Saccharomyces cerevisiae S288C: one gene and its partners. The protein of the gene in region 1 binds, or shares a complex with, the protein of each later gene. Each region holds a gene or a part of one and is shown on either strand. Other genes may lie near its edges. A codon is read from its position in the direction of its gene.

Evidence for each region.
Region 2: BET1 (region 1) and UFE1 share a complex: the UniProt entries of both Saccharomyces cerevisiae proteins name them as parts of the SNARE complex.
Region 3: the proteins of BET1 (region 1) and SEC24 are in contact, whole or in part, in a crystal structure (PDB 1PCX), measured with the Saccharomyces cerevisiae proteins. Residues at the interface, in NP_012262.3 of Saccharomyces cerevisiae: Leu51 (codon at 2,226), Ala52 (codon at 2,229), Leu54 (codon at 2,235), Glu55 (codon at 2,238), Ser56 (codon at 2,241), Gln57 (codon at 2,244), Ser58 (codon at 2,247); in NP_012157.3 of Saccharomyces cerevisiae: Arg230 (codon at 2,916), Arg235 (codon at 2,931), Tyr237 (codon at 2,937), Glu295 (codon at 3,111), Tyr296 (codon at 3,114), Thr297 (codon at 3,117), Leu298 (codon at 3,120), Gln494 (codon at 3,708), Glu555 (codon at 3,891), Val557 (codon at 3,897), Arg559 (codon at 3,903), Arg561 (codon at 3,909), Leu582 (codon at 3,972), Ala614 (codon at 4,068), Leu616 (codon at 4,074), Arg624 (codon at 4,098).

What each region holds. Positions count from the first base shown.
Region 1 is NC_001141.2:346,538-350,449, reverse strand, and holds BET1 (Bet1p), read left to right. Parts: upstream 1-1,944; coding exon 1,945-1,955; intron 1,956-2,086; coding exon 2,087-2,504; downstream 2,505-3,912. Other genes in the region: CMI7 (Cmi7p), read right to left, coding at 1-149; iron-sulfur cluster assembly protein CFD1, read right to left, coding at 447-1,328; protein disulfide isomerase EPS1, read right to left, coding at 2,653-3,912. UniProt on the Saccharomyces cerevisiae protein: SNARE required for targeting and fusion of ER-derived transport vesicles with the Golgi complex.
Region 2 is NC_001147.6:465,977-470,378, forward strand, and holds UFE1 (Ufe1p), read left to right. Parts: upstream 1-2,235; coding exon 2,236-3,276; downstream 3,277-4,402. Other genes in the region: SGO1 (Sgo1p), read left to right, coding at 1-567; CDC21 (thymidylate synthase), read right to left, coding at 699-1,613; SKI7 (Ski7p), read right to left, coding at 3,401-4,402. UniProt on the Saccharomyces cerevisiae protein: Syntaxin required for targeting and fusion of Golgi-derived retrograde transport vesicles with the ER.
Region 3 is NC_001141.2:156,259-162,393, reverse strand, and holds SEC24 (COPII subunit SEC24), read left to right. Parts: upstream 1-2,228; coding exon 2,229-5,009; downstream 5,010-6,135. Other genes in the region: YIL108W (putative metalloendopeptidase), read right to left, coding at 1-1,507; HPM1 (protein-histidine N-methyltransferase), read right to left, coding at 5,216-6,135. UniProt on the Saccharomyces cerevisiae protein: Component of the coat protein complex II (COPII) which promotes the formation of transport vesicles from the endoplasmic reticulum (ER).

The sequences.
Region 1 (3,912 bases):
ACTAACAGAGAGTCCATTTTCTTTTCCATTTCATCCAACTTAAGTTCGACTTCCGAGATTTTCTCTTCTCCTCCTTTTAGTAGGTTCAAAACATCTAAAATATCCTTTGCGCCTGCAGTACTGACATCTTCGGGTGTATCACGAGTCATATTATTGACGACGAGTGAAGTGTTCTGCGATTTCTCTAGAGTAATTGATTCAGTTGCTCTTTCTCAAAATTGTGTGATTAAATATTATTTCTTTGTCAATATTTACCCGGCCTTTTAAATTTGTATCACCACTTGAAGAACATGCTGCAGTTGCCGGTTAGCTTCTAACCACCTTTCGATATAGGAATCGAAATAGGAATCGAAATTTATTTCTAGGCCCAAGGATCAAAATATAAGTGTATATAAACACACACACACACATATATATATATATACGTACATGCATAGGAGAGGATCTTATTTTGGAGATTCTATCTGGGGTTGCTCGTGTTTATCCACAACAGGGGTTGTAGTGTCTTGTTTCCTCAGTTTCTTCATTATTTCTTCAAAAATGGGACAAAGAGATGATTCTCTGTACATTTCTACAAGCGTTTTTTTACTTGAAACTTGATTCTCAATCATTTCTACAAATTTTGGATCTATAGGAACGTTACCAAGGTATGGGACAGAAAATTGCTCCGATAATCTTTTACCACCCCCACTGGAAAAGATATTTGTACACTCAGCACAATGCGGGCATACAAACCCTGACATGTTTTCAATTATACCGAGGATCTTTAAATCGACCTTCTTGCAGAAATTGATTTCTTTTTTGACATCAGCTGTTGCAACACTCTGTGGGGTAGTTACTACAATACCACCATCTGGTTTGGAATATCTCAGCTCCTCTGCAATCGATATATGTTCATCCGACGTTCCCGGAGGGGTATCGATCAGTAAGTAATCCAGTTCACCCCAGGCGACGTCAGAGATGAATTGTTTTATCATAGAAGTCTTCTTAGGACCCCTCCATATCACGCTGTTCCCTCTATCACCTAGTAGAAACCCCAATGATATTACACTAAGAGAGCCAGTAGAGTTTGTCTCCACTTTCACAGGTTGCCAACCTTCAGGACCTTGATATATAGATTCGTTCTCTAGGCCAAACATCCTCGGTAAGGATGGCCCTGTTAAATCAATATCTAAAACTCCAACTTTGAAGCCCATACTGCAAAGAGTCAGCGCAGTCTGTGTCGTTACCGAACTTTTACCGACACCACCTTTTCCGGAAAGGATCAATATGATATGTTTTATTCCTGCCAAAGAGGCCGCAGGAACGCCTATCTCCTGTTCCTCCATGCTTAATTGTAATAGTCGTATTAGTTTTGGGTGCTCCTCGACGCATGTGTATAGTTTTCATTTTGATGGTGTAAAACGTTCATGACTAATGAAGCCTTCCGATTTCTTTCCATTTTGCTATTACTTGCGCGATGAGCCGTCTAATGTGATTCTTCCAAATAATATCTAATAAACCCATGGTGTTTACTCTGTGATAGGAACCAAAGATCCCGTAATTATCGCTTTGTAATTGTATTTCCAGTTATTTCTGTACATTCTAGGTTACTGTTCAGGGATATGTTTCACTCTTATCGATGTGGCGTGCAAAAAATTTGAAGGGGCGACATATCAGGGAAAGTATTAGTGATTTTTTATAATGTTGCACTATCTCAGATGAAATTTATGCATGCTAATTGGCGGATACTACTCTACCGTTGTTGCAAGCTACGTAGGAACGTTCACGGCTCTTTCTTCCATTAATTTTAAATTGCGAAAGTATCCAGTAGTTGTTAAAAATGGAGTTTTTTCAACTCGCGCCTTTTGCCAAGGAATGGTAGAAAACAAACAGTAGTTCACTTGAGACTGTGAATGTGTTAGAAAATGTGATTGAAGAGCCTCACAACACTAGGCTACACAGATGAGTTCAAGGTATGAGAAATTATTAGACTATTCTAAAGTTAGAGTAGCGCTTTTTGTTAAACATCTACCATAACACCTCGATATTGGGAGTTATTGACCACGAGTGAACTTCGTTTACTAACTATAGCGTGTGTATATAGATTTGCAGGGGGAAACGCTTATCAACGTGATACTGGTAGAACACAGTTATTCGGACCGGCTGATGGATCAAATAGTCTCGATGACAATGTATCATCAGCGCTAGGGAGCACAGATAAATTAGACTACTCCCAAAGTACTTTGGCATCTCTTGAATCTCAAAGTGAGGAACAGATGGGAGCTATGGGTCAGAGAATAAAAGCACTCAAGTCATTATCGTTGAAGATGGGTGATGAGATTAGAGGCAGCAATCAAACTATTGACCAGCTTGGTGATACTTTCCATAACACTTCTGTAAAACTCAAAAGGACTTTTGGAAACATGATGGAGATGGCCAGAAGATCTGGGATCAGTATAAAAACATGGTTAATAATATTTTTTATGGTAGGCGTGCTATTTTTTTGGGTATGGATTACATAAATATTTGCATATTGTACATTAAACCTAAGTGACAAAATAAGAGCGACGTTTGTTAGATGATTGTAGATATTGATACGTGAAATAAAGGATAGTTATGATAGCATCATAAGATATCAGCATTCTTTTATTTTTATAACTACTTAAGCGTTTAATCTTGATTTTTTTTTTTCTCCATATTTCCTAGGATACCGACAGCGTTCCTTTTCGCCCTATAGTGTTTCCTTACTTTGTATCTTCTGTAAATAGATGGACCTTTGAGTATTGCGATAAACAAAACAATAACAATTAAGTAACCGGGCATGCCGTTCCCGTGGATTATGTCTAGGAAACTGAGGACATTATGGAATGGAGAATTTATCAATCTCCCCTTCAACTTAGAGCTGTATAGAGCTTTTGATGGAATATTTAAGGACACGAATGCTTCTCTCAGCAATTGAGGGTTGTTAGAAGTCAAGGAGTTGCCAAAATTATCTTTATTGTAGTAGTAATTATTTGATTTATCAATGATAATCACATCACCAATTTTATATTCTCCAGTAATACCATATTTTCTAAAAAAATTCTTCTCCTTTGAAATATCTAAATATCCTAATAACAATTTTTTTTGATCCATATGGGGAATCTCTTCACGCATTTTATCAACAATTTTGTTAGCCGGAGCCTTTTTTTCCTTTATTTTCTTGATCCCGTCTGCTTTCCTTGCCCTTCTCTCATTAATTTCTTCGAAGTTATTTTCCATCCGAATATGTTCATACTCCCAACTTGCGAGGAGCAAGTTTTTAATAAGCTTGTTGCTTCCTTTGATATGTTTGTGGTCAGTGCTACTTATTAACTGAATTGCTAAATCACTGTAGCTCTTGGTTTGGAAGGAAATTAATTTTTTCAAATTAGAAGAGTCAACTTCGGTAACTAAGGGATTAGAATACTTTTTTACCCAATCCATAATGGCATCAATATTTCTCATTTCTGTTGTGGAGTATCCGGGGAAAACATAGGATATGGGATCACCATCTTTAAACATGAAAAAAGTTGGGAGTTGCGTAACCGTATTCATAGTAAAGTATTCTTTGTTAAAAACCTTTTGAGTTTGGCTGGCGTCGTAGTTGATCTTTTCATACATTCTTCCAAAAAGATTACGTGACAAATTTATTAGATTCTTGTCAATTTGGTGCAAATATATGTTTGGAATTTTTGACAAAGGCTCGATTAAATACTCCAAAATGTCAAAATCTTCAATAACAACAGTTTCGGGGTCATATGAAAAAACTAAATGGATATCATTATTAGTTACTCGTCCCCTTTCTTGCAGAAAATCAATGTCTCTGTTTGCTTTTTTTTCGAGCTCCCCTTCTGTTATATTGGGAAATTTACTGTTTGTAAAAGTCCTCCTGGCAAAATCTACATAGCC
Region 2 (4,402 bases), on another chromosome or scaffold:
ATACATGATCTACAGGTTTCCAAGAGAAATCGGGAAACTTCACATAAAAGGAAAAGTTTATCCCAAGATTCAATACCCGACGAACCGCAATTGAGAGAAGTCGTCGTCTCAAAGGATTATGGAACTCCAAAAGGGAAAAAAACGGAAGATGAAATACACGAGGATACCGCTCATCTAATGACCACTTCCAACAACAACAGCAACAACAAAAACGAAAAAAAACTAACTAGCAACAATAGCCCTAAAAAATCGTCGCCTTTACTTGACATTACAAATAAATCGGAGAATAAGAAAAAGTCAACAAGAACTAAAAAATTGTTCAAAAATGCAATTGTCAATAATTTATCTGATGAAAATTCTACTACGCGACCCTCCAAGTCGTCAAAGGGAACCAGTAATAATAACAACAATTACAACAATTTCGACAATAACAATTCAAACATTAATAATGTTAATAATAAATCTGTTAGCTTTAGACTAAATGAAGATGATTTAGCAGTATTTGATTTATTTGGAAATGGTAAGGCAGTGAAACATCAACCAAAAACATATCGCACCAAAAAATGATATATAGTCTTTTTGCCCTGGTGTTCCTTAATAATTTCTATATTTTTGCATAATAAACCATTGTATTATATACATTCGATTTTGTGTGTATATACGTAAGTACATGATTTTGTTTCTCCTCGTGCTGTCAATTATACACTCATTTTCATTTGAATTCTTGGATGAGGATTATAATCTTCAATTTCAAAGTCTGTCAACTTGAAATCATCAATGTCTTTAACGTCCCTTTTAATCTTTAGTTTCGGGAATGGTCTTGGATTTCTGGTGATTTGTTCTTTCAAGGCATCAATGTGGTCTTTATAAACATGTGCATCCCCCAAAGTATGAATGAACTCACCTGGCTCCATGTCGACAACTTTAGCAATCATTCTAGTCAACAAAGCATATGATGCAATGTTAAATGGTACTCCCAACCCCATATCACAAGAACGTTGGTACAATAAGCATGAAAGGCGGGGCTTACCGGATCCTTCTCCTTCTTTGGGGAAACTGACATAGAACTGTGAAAAAATATGGCATGGCGGCAAAGCCATTTTGTCAAAATCAGCTGGGTTCCAGGCACTCATAATGATTCTTCTATCGTAGGGATTTGTCTTTAGTTTATGTATAACCTGTTTCAATTGATCAATACCTTGTCCAGTATAGTCGTCATCGCACGTCTTGTATTTAGCACCAAAATGCCTCCATTGAAATCCGTAAACGGGCCCCAGATCTCCTACTTTCCTATCTTTGAACCCCATCTTATCTAAATATTCACGAGATCCATTACCGTCCCAAATCTTAACACCTTGCTCAGACAATAGGTTAGCGTCTGTATCACCGGCCAAAAACCACAATAGTTCAAGTATGATACCTCTAGTAAAAACCTTCTTGGTCGTTAGTAGTGGGAAGGTATCATCACGTAAACTAAAACGCAGCTGGGGTGGTGCAAAAAGACTCAACGTACCAGTGCCTGTTCTATCTGGCCTAAATTCACCTTCATCAATGATTCTTTTGCATAGATCAAGATATTGCTCTTCTTCTTTGTTTTTTCCGTCCATAGTCATCCTGTACCGTTCTGTTATGAAGCTCTCTCCTTGATACTTTATTGTTTGATATACACAGTCACTTACAAGTTTAGAAAATACAATTACAGCTATGCTATAGTAAATATTTCAGGAAACGCGTCAATTAAGGTCTTTTTCATTTTTTCTATTTAACGCGTCACCAAATATTAAGTTTGAGAAAGAAGGTCAAAAAAGCAACACCTCTTCCAACCTGTTCAATGCGGTCCTACGTTGAGGACACAAAGCTAATCTCTTTGAGGTAGCTGCAGTATAATGACGGGACCTTTGCATATTTTATTGGCCTTTTCCAATGAAACTAATTTTTTAATTGAATCTCAATCCCGTCCTTTACAGACGAGAGGGGAAAGAAGCTTGTTCGCATGATCCATCCTGGAATATGGATACATGTCATGTAATGATAAATCATTCCTACCTTTGCTGGTATCTTTCTGAAAAGGGCACATTTAATTAAGAACTGCCAACAAGGAAAGATCTCCGTTACCCTACCCAACTTGTGAGCTCAGATGAATGAGAATAACTAGAATACATACACATACGTCTAGTATCATTTCCCCCGGTGCTGGGAAATCACCCGTAAAAGCAGTGAAGAGCTTATTAACTCATGATGTCTGATTTAACACCAATATTCCGTAAGTATGTTGCTGTTATCGATGATGCTAGAAATGAGCAAAATGGTATAGATGATCATGTTGAAAGGAAACAAGAGGACTTCGGGAATTCTAATGAAACGTGTGAAATGTTTAGGGATTCGTTTATTAAGGAATGTGCAAGACTATTGAAGTTCCTAGTCGAATTAAACAAGGTAATAAAACAGATTGAAAAAAACTATTTAGATGACTTTAATATGAGTGATGCGGAAAAGGACGAGTTTGACATGGAATGCAGGCTGCAAATTCAACAATATTTCAAAAAGTTTGAATTCCTAGAGAATTACGAAATGGAAAGGCATAATTTGTCGCTGAAAAGATTTCAGTCAAAGTCTCACAGATGGTCAAAAATACTTTCCAATAAAAACGACAACACTAAGCATGTGATACATCCGCAAGACATTGAAAATGGAGTTTATGAATTTAGATTAGGTGTCCTACGGTGTTTGAATTTGTGGATAAAATATGTTTCATCCAAATTCACTACCATACAACAGGAAAGATTGATATTAGAAAATAAAATGAATTTCAATTCAACGCCTATGCCTACTTTATCCAACAATGCGGATGATTTCTCTGCAGATGCAATAGACATCTCAGTGTCACAATCTGCTCCCGTAGAAACTGTACAAGACGAAGTAAAACATTATGAAGAGACGATATCCAAATTAACCCAGGAGCAACTACAAGTGTTGGAGACAGAACATTCGGAACTGCTAAATCAAAAAAATGAGCAATTGAAAAAAGTGGAGACTATAAACAAAACAATTTTAGACATTGTCAATATACAGAACGAATTGTCCAATCATTTAACGGTGCAATCTCAAAATATAAACCTAATGCTGAACAATCAAGATGACATTGAATTGAATATTAAGAAGGGAAATAAAGAATTACGTAAAGCGAAACGAGCTGCTGGAAGAACTGCTAAAATGACCACTTATGGTGCCATTATCATGGGTGTTTTTATATTGTTCCTAGATTATGTAGGTTAATATCACTTTCATAAGATATGTGTAAAATGGGTTAAAAAAATCAATCTATCATCAACTTATTACTATTCATTTTATATATTAAACAATAAGTATGAATGCCTAGTATAATTTCTTAGTTGTAGGATTACTGGCATGCAATTCTGCCAACTGCGATAACCTTATGATCTATTGATGTTAAAACAATATTGTTGGTAATGTATTTGGAATCAATCACATTAAGAGCAAAGTCTGGTTCTATAATTTCGACTTCGACAATAAGTGACTGATTTGGATTAATTGAGATGTCGTTAGTCCCGAGAATCTTCACCAATTTTACCGCGTTGTGCGTCAAATTATGGTAAAGAAGCAATTCAGAACCCAAGTCAACGGGATCACTTAGCGCGTGCGTTTGTATTGATAATTTTATTAAACGCAAGGCTAACAACTTTAGTGTGTTTGGTAAATTCGGTGATAGTGTATTCGTCTTTCTAGAGTGAATTATTATATCACCCTTACGAATGTGAAATTGCTTTTTCGTGAAGTCTTCGGTATTATGAATCTTAACAAGAACCTCTAAAATGTCAGGGTTCAAACCGACTGATATATTATTTTTTGTGTTAGTCTCCAGTATTTGTTTTGAATTCTTCATTCTTGAAACTATACCATAGTAATGAAAATCTTCATATTGTGTATGAATTTCAATTGTCTGGCCTGATTGAATATATCCGCTGTTGATCAAGACTTTGAGTGACACGTAATTTATCTCCGCTATCGGTTGAAGAACAGAAGATTGCAGTATTGTGCCTACAAATGGCTCTTCCAAAGTTGTTTCTATTTTGTTCATATTATGCTCTACCAATAGATATAGTTGCGAAAAAAATGTCGGACCTTCATACCATTCGGGAACATAATTTATAGAGTCAAATTCTGACTTATACTTAGATTTTGTGATGTTTTCAGTTTTATTCAAATTCGAACCTAATAAACCCGAACACGGGATAAATTGGAATTCTGCGTCTGTCCACTGAAAGTTTTCCTTCAACACATAATTTAGCTCAGACTGAATCATTTCTAGTCGGTGCTTATCCCAACTAATTAGATCTGCCTTATTCAAAAGAATTATCAAGTGCTTTTTGCATGCGGAATT
Region 3 (6,135 bases), 190 kb from region 1:
AAGATGGGAACTTGTCGAACTCGGTTTCCGGTGCATTAACAGAAAGAATTTTCAATTTGAAGGTATTGCCAAACTTGGCGAGTTCATTCTTGGGCAACCTGGCACGTAAATCATCTAATGTTACTATAACTTCCCGTTGAGGCCCCTGTCCACCTAGGGAAACCGGCAAGTATTCAATATGGCCCCTGGCCAAATCATCACATATAATTTCAATCAAATAGATTCCTGTGGGCGATAATATGCGGCAACTGCCGTTACCCAAAGGATATACAGAGTGTTTTATATTGGGGTATCCGCCCAATTTTGTAGGTCTCATGAACGATGGATCGTAATAATCCTGTGGTAAAGTGAAAGAGGGGTGGTACAAAAATCTTACCGTATCGAGACGGTTCCAGGTACATTCTTCCTTGGGGAAGATGGGAGGACTAGCACCAGTTGAATTAGTTCTTACAGAATAAGCCTCTTTAGTCAAGAAAGACCTATTCAAAGTGGTATAGCCTCTTAGCATAACACCGCTTTCCTGATGAGGACAACCCAGTAAGTGACCAATCTCATGCATAAATGCTCCCAACGTGATAGTCAAACATTCCCAGTAAGTACCACACTCATTACAGTCGTTGGCGACTTCACTGGTGGAGGATCTTGTCTCATCAGTAAAATAAGGCACCAATTGCTCGAGACAAGTAGGCCATGAGTAAAGCCCGTGCGACCCAAAAATGGCGAGCTTAATGCTGTCGTCACCCCCACCCAATGCGGCGTGGCCTCTAATCAACTTACCATCCCAGTGGGTGTCTAGAAACATACAAGCTGCCTGAACAGGCTTTTCGTTATTGGTGAAGGGTCCGCCGTAACTTTTAAGGGCGTCCATGGCTATCCCAAAAAGGGCGCCGGTGTTTTTCCCTTTGGAATTCTGTTGAGCTATGTCAGGGTCCTGGATTTCCTTCACCGTCTTTTCCGAACGAACTACATGTATTTTGATGGTGTTTCTCATAGCAGGCCGTTCGAACAGCGTGTCCCAGGTAAATTCTTCAACAAAGGGAAACGTCCTATTTCCCATACTGTTTCTCAGCATTTGCTCGTTCGTGTACGCTTGCATGAGTCTGGCCCCAAGTCTTAGCTTCTTGATTGCCAATTCGAGGCCATTCCCGCCCTCTCTGTCCTTCTGTTCTCGAGGAGAGTCAAACTGTAAAGGCGAATCCTTGGCCAAGATCAGACACAGGTGTACGGGAGGGTTCTGCGTCAGTGGTGTGTAGTAACATACGATTGTCCTAGCGGTGTTAGTGTCTGTAACAAAGGTCAACTTGTTCTCACCAGGAGTCAATATCACAGTGGCCTTGAAGAACTGATTATGTATGGGGTAAGTAATTGGAGGCAATTGTGGATGCTGCACTTGAACGGTCTTCGCACCATTTTGCTTATTGCATTTTCCGTGCACGATAAGACAAGGAGAAACGATTTGCTCGTTCTCTCTCAGGTTGAATAGATCAATATCCTTCGAGCCTACCATTTATTTCTTTCTCTTCGAACTACTACTTCCTTTTTTTTTTTTTACTGTATACGATCTAATAATAAGAAGAAAGAAGAACTCCTTTTAAATTTCCTTTTTCTCTCTATTTTCCGGCGACCGCTACTCTTAAACGTCCAAACCAAAAAAAGATCGAGAGAATTGACTGCGCCAAGACACATGAACTTCTGAAACCTAAGAAAGCCTGACTGTTCCTAAGGTGATCTATATTTATATACAACATCATGCTCTTAAAAGAATAGGTTACGTAATTAATTGATGGAAAATTTCAGCAAATTTCCGCCTAGAATGCCGGGTAACAAAAAAGTAATTAGTGCTATGTTTGGGTGATAGAATCGTGTCACAAATATACATAGCACTGACAAGTGTGCATTTTGCACTAACCACTGCTATAAGTTTTTCAGCTTAATGCAGTCTATTCAGGCACTATCTGGGCTTGAAAAACAGTCTTGGACATGGCCACTGGAGCAGATTTGTTAACGCTTAGCTGTTCTCTTTTTTTTTTTCTTGTTTTTTCCATTTACGGCAGAAGAAAATGAAAACTGGAAGAACGAAAACGAAGAAAAACAAAACTATGTAAGGAGGATGGTACATCAGGAAACAGGCCAAAAATAGCACTACAAAAAGGTTTTATCTGGCACTCAGGTCCATTTTTGCCGCATTGAAACAGACATAAATATATAAGTCTGAGACCATCTGCAAAATGTCTCATCACAAGAAACGTGTTTACCCACAAGCTCAGCTCCAGTATGGACAAAATGCCACCCCTCTACAACAGCCAGCACAATTCATGCCTCCGCAGGATCCTGCTGCAGCTGGAATGAGCTATGGTCAGATGGGAATGCCGCCACAGGGTGCAGTCCCTTCCATGGGGCAGCAACAATTCCTAACCCCTGCTCAAGAACAGTTACACCAGCAAATTGATCAGGCCACCACTTCCATGAACGATATGCATCTGCACAACGTACCGCTAGTCGATCCTAACGCTTATATGCAGCCACAGGTTCCCGTGCAAATGGGCACACCTTTGCAGCAACAGCAACAACCAATGGCAGCGCCTGCGTATGGCCAACCTAGCGCCGCAATGGGCCAAAACATGAGGCCCATGAACCAGTTGTATCCAATCGATCTGTTGACGGAATTGCCTCCTCCAATTACCGATCTGACCTTGCCTCCCCCACCGTTGGTTATTCCTCCAGAAAGGATGTTAGTTCCTTCTGAATTGTCCAATGCGTCTCCAGATTATATCAGGTCGACCTTGAACGCCGTTCCTAAGAACAGCTCCCTGCTGAAGAAGTCTAAACTTCCATTTGGGCTTGTTATCAGACCATACCAACACTTGTACGACGATATCGACCCGCCTCCATTGAATGAAGATGGACTTATTGTCCGTTGTCGTCGTTGTCGTTCTTACATGAACCCTTTTGTCACTTTTATCGAGCAAGGCAGAAGATGGAGATGTAACTTTTGTCGTCTGGCCAATGACGTTCCTATGCAAATGGACCAGAGCGATCCAAACGACCCAAAGAGTAGATACGACAGAAATGAAATCAAATGTGCTGTGATGGAATATATGGCCCCAAAGGAATATACTCTAAGACAACCACCTCCAGCCACTTACTGTTTCCTGATCGATGTCTCCCAGTCCTCTATCAAGAGTGGGTTACTGGCCACTACCATCAACACCCTTTTGCAAAATCTTGATTCCATTCCAAACCATGATGAAAGAACCAGAATTTCCATCTTATGTGTAGACAACGCCATTCACTACTTTAAAATCCCATTGGATTCTGAAAACAATGAAGAGTCCGCCGATCAAATCAACATGATGGATATTGCCGACCTGGAAGAGCCTTTCTTGCCCAGACCAAACTCTATGGTTGTGTCCTTAAAGGCCTGCAGACAAAACATTGAAACTTTATTGACCAAGATTCCTCAAATCTTCCAATCTAATTTAATCACAAATTTCGCACTGGGCCCCGCTTTGAAATCCGCTTATCATTTAATTGGTGGCGTTGGTGGTAAAATAATTGTTGTGTCAGGTACTTTGCCCAACTTAGGCATAGGAAAATTACAAAGGAGAAATGAAAGTGGTGTTGTTAATACATCCAAGGAAACTGCACAACTACTTTCCTGTCAAGACTCATTTTATAAGAATTTCACCATCGATTGTTCTAAAGTACAGATTACTGTCGATTTATTTTTGGCTTCTGAAGATTATATGGACGTTGCATCACTATCGAATTTGAGTCGTTTCACTGCTGGTCAAACGCATTTCTATCCTGGTTTTTCAGGCAAGAACCCAAATGATATTGTCAAATTTTCCACTGAGTTTGCCAAGCACATTTCCATGGATTTCTGTATGGAAACCGTAATGAGAGCCCGTGGTTCCACAGGTTTGAGAATGAGTAGATTCTATGGTCACTTCTTCAATAGATCATCTGATTTATGTGCATTTTCCACCATGCCAAGAGATCAATCATACTTATTCGAAGTTAACGTTGATGAATCCATTATGGCTGACTATTGTTATGTTCAAGTAGCGGTACTTTTATCTCTGAATAATAGTCAACGTAGAATAAGAATTATAACATTGGCTATGCCAACCACGGAATCGTTGGCAGAAGTCTACGCATCTGCTGACCAATTAGCTATAGCGTCGTTTTACAACTCGAAGGCGGTGGAGAAAGCATTGAATTCCAGTTTGGACGATGCAAGAGTATTGATCAACAAATCCGTGCAAGATATCTTAGCCACGTACAAGAAGGAAATAGTGGTGTCCAACACTGCAGGGGGGGCCCCATTGAGGTTATGTGCCAATTTGAGAATGTTCCCATTGTTAATGCATTCTTTAACTAAGCATATGGCATTTAGATCTGGTATTGTCCCAAGTGACCATCGCGCCTCGGCCTTGAACAACTTAGAATCATTACCTTTGAAATATCTAATCAAAAACATCTACCCTGATGTTTATTCGCTGCATGATATGGCTGATGAGGCTGGGTTACCAGTGCAAACTGAAGATGGTGAAGCTACTGGCACAATTGTTTTGCCTCAACCAATCAATGCTACCTCTTCGTTGTTTGAAAGATACGGTCTATACTTGATAGATAATGGTAACGAATTGTTTTTGTGGATGGGTGGTGACGCTGTACCAGCGCTAGTATTCGATGTGTTTGGAACACAGGATATCTTTGACATTCCAATTGGCAAACAGGAAATACCTGTTGTTGAAAATTCTGAATTCAATCAAAGAGTAAGAAACATTATCAACCAATTGAGAAACCATGATGATGTCATCACTTACCAATCATTGTATATTGTTAGGGGTGCCTCTTTGAGCGAGCCCGTTAACCATGCATCTGCTAGGGAAGTTGCAACGCTAAGACTATGGGCTTCTAGCACCTTAGTGGAGGATAAGATTTTGAATAACGAAAGTTACAGAGAATTCTTACAAATCATGAAAGCCAGAATTAGCAAATAAGGCTAAAAGGGAATCAATGATAAAAAGAAACTGTATATTTTTGTTGGTTGCATTTTTGCTTTCCAATTATATTATGTATATTGAACAGTTACTTTAATTTTTACTTCTATATTTCTTTTCTATTTTCATCCATGTTATAAATAAAAGATACAGTAAAAGACTTATGGATTAACTTAAGGAAATGAAGTTGAAACAAATTATACTAACTATCGGATAGCTTTATTTGTTTCAATGCATATAATCGACCTTTTTAAGCCAGAGTTAACTTTAAACCTTTCAGAATGAATTGGTAGATGTTCGGAGTTTATTTTGTCGTCCAAATAAGCTTCAAATTCAGTGATGCTACCACCGACTCCAAAATAAATATCCTTTGCGGCTACGTAAGTTTTGACATCGGTTTGTGGTAAATTGTGTATGTCAAGTATTGTTTCCGCTATAACGGGCAAATTGTCAGGTTGATAAATTGTTTCTGAGGATAATGAAAGGACTTTTTGGCTACCTGAGAGTACTTCATGGATCAAATTACTAAATTTACGTCCCCACGATCCTGATATAAGAGTGACGCTGATATTCCTGCTTTGTACATCGTCGTAAAAGGCAGCTAACAGCTTTGAGGTAAGAAGCAGTTCCTCATTATTTATTGGAATATCTTCACATTCGTCTTTCTGTAAGGCGTACCATTGTTCCTTTGTCAAAACCGTTTTAGCCCATGTTATAACCAAATTCGGTATGGTAACTAATCTTAATACACTGGCATTATAGTCAGTCAAAACAAACTTTAAACCTTTACTTCTATCATTCCGTAGAAGAGCAGATCTGAAAAGAAACTCTGAGGGTAGTGCCGTACCACAGCCTATTTCGACAACCGCGTCGATATCGTTGCTTATTCTATCAACGTTCTCTGACAACAAATCAACTAAATCATAAGAGCACTCCCATGATTTCAACCCACCTTCATAGATGTTCTTTCTCAAATCTTCAGAAGTATCACCTAGTAAAATGTCCAGTTCCGTGGAGTTGTTGTTGGATTGGGCATCTGTCTCTAACATTAGCTGATGTTTGACATCGAATAGTTCCCTCTTGATCAATGGTTTTCTATATATCGGAGATTGGAACTCTTCAAATG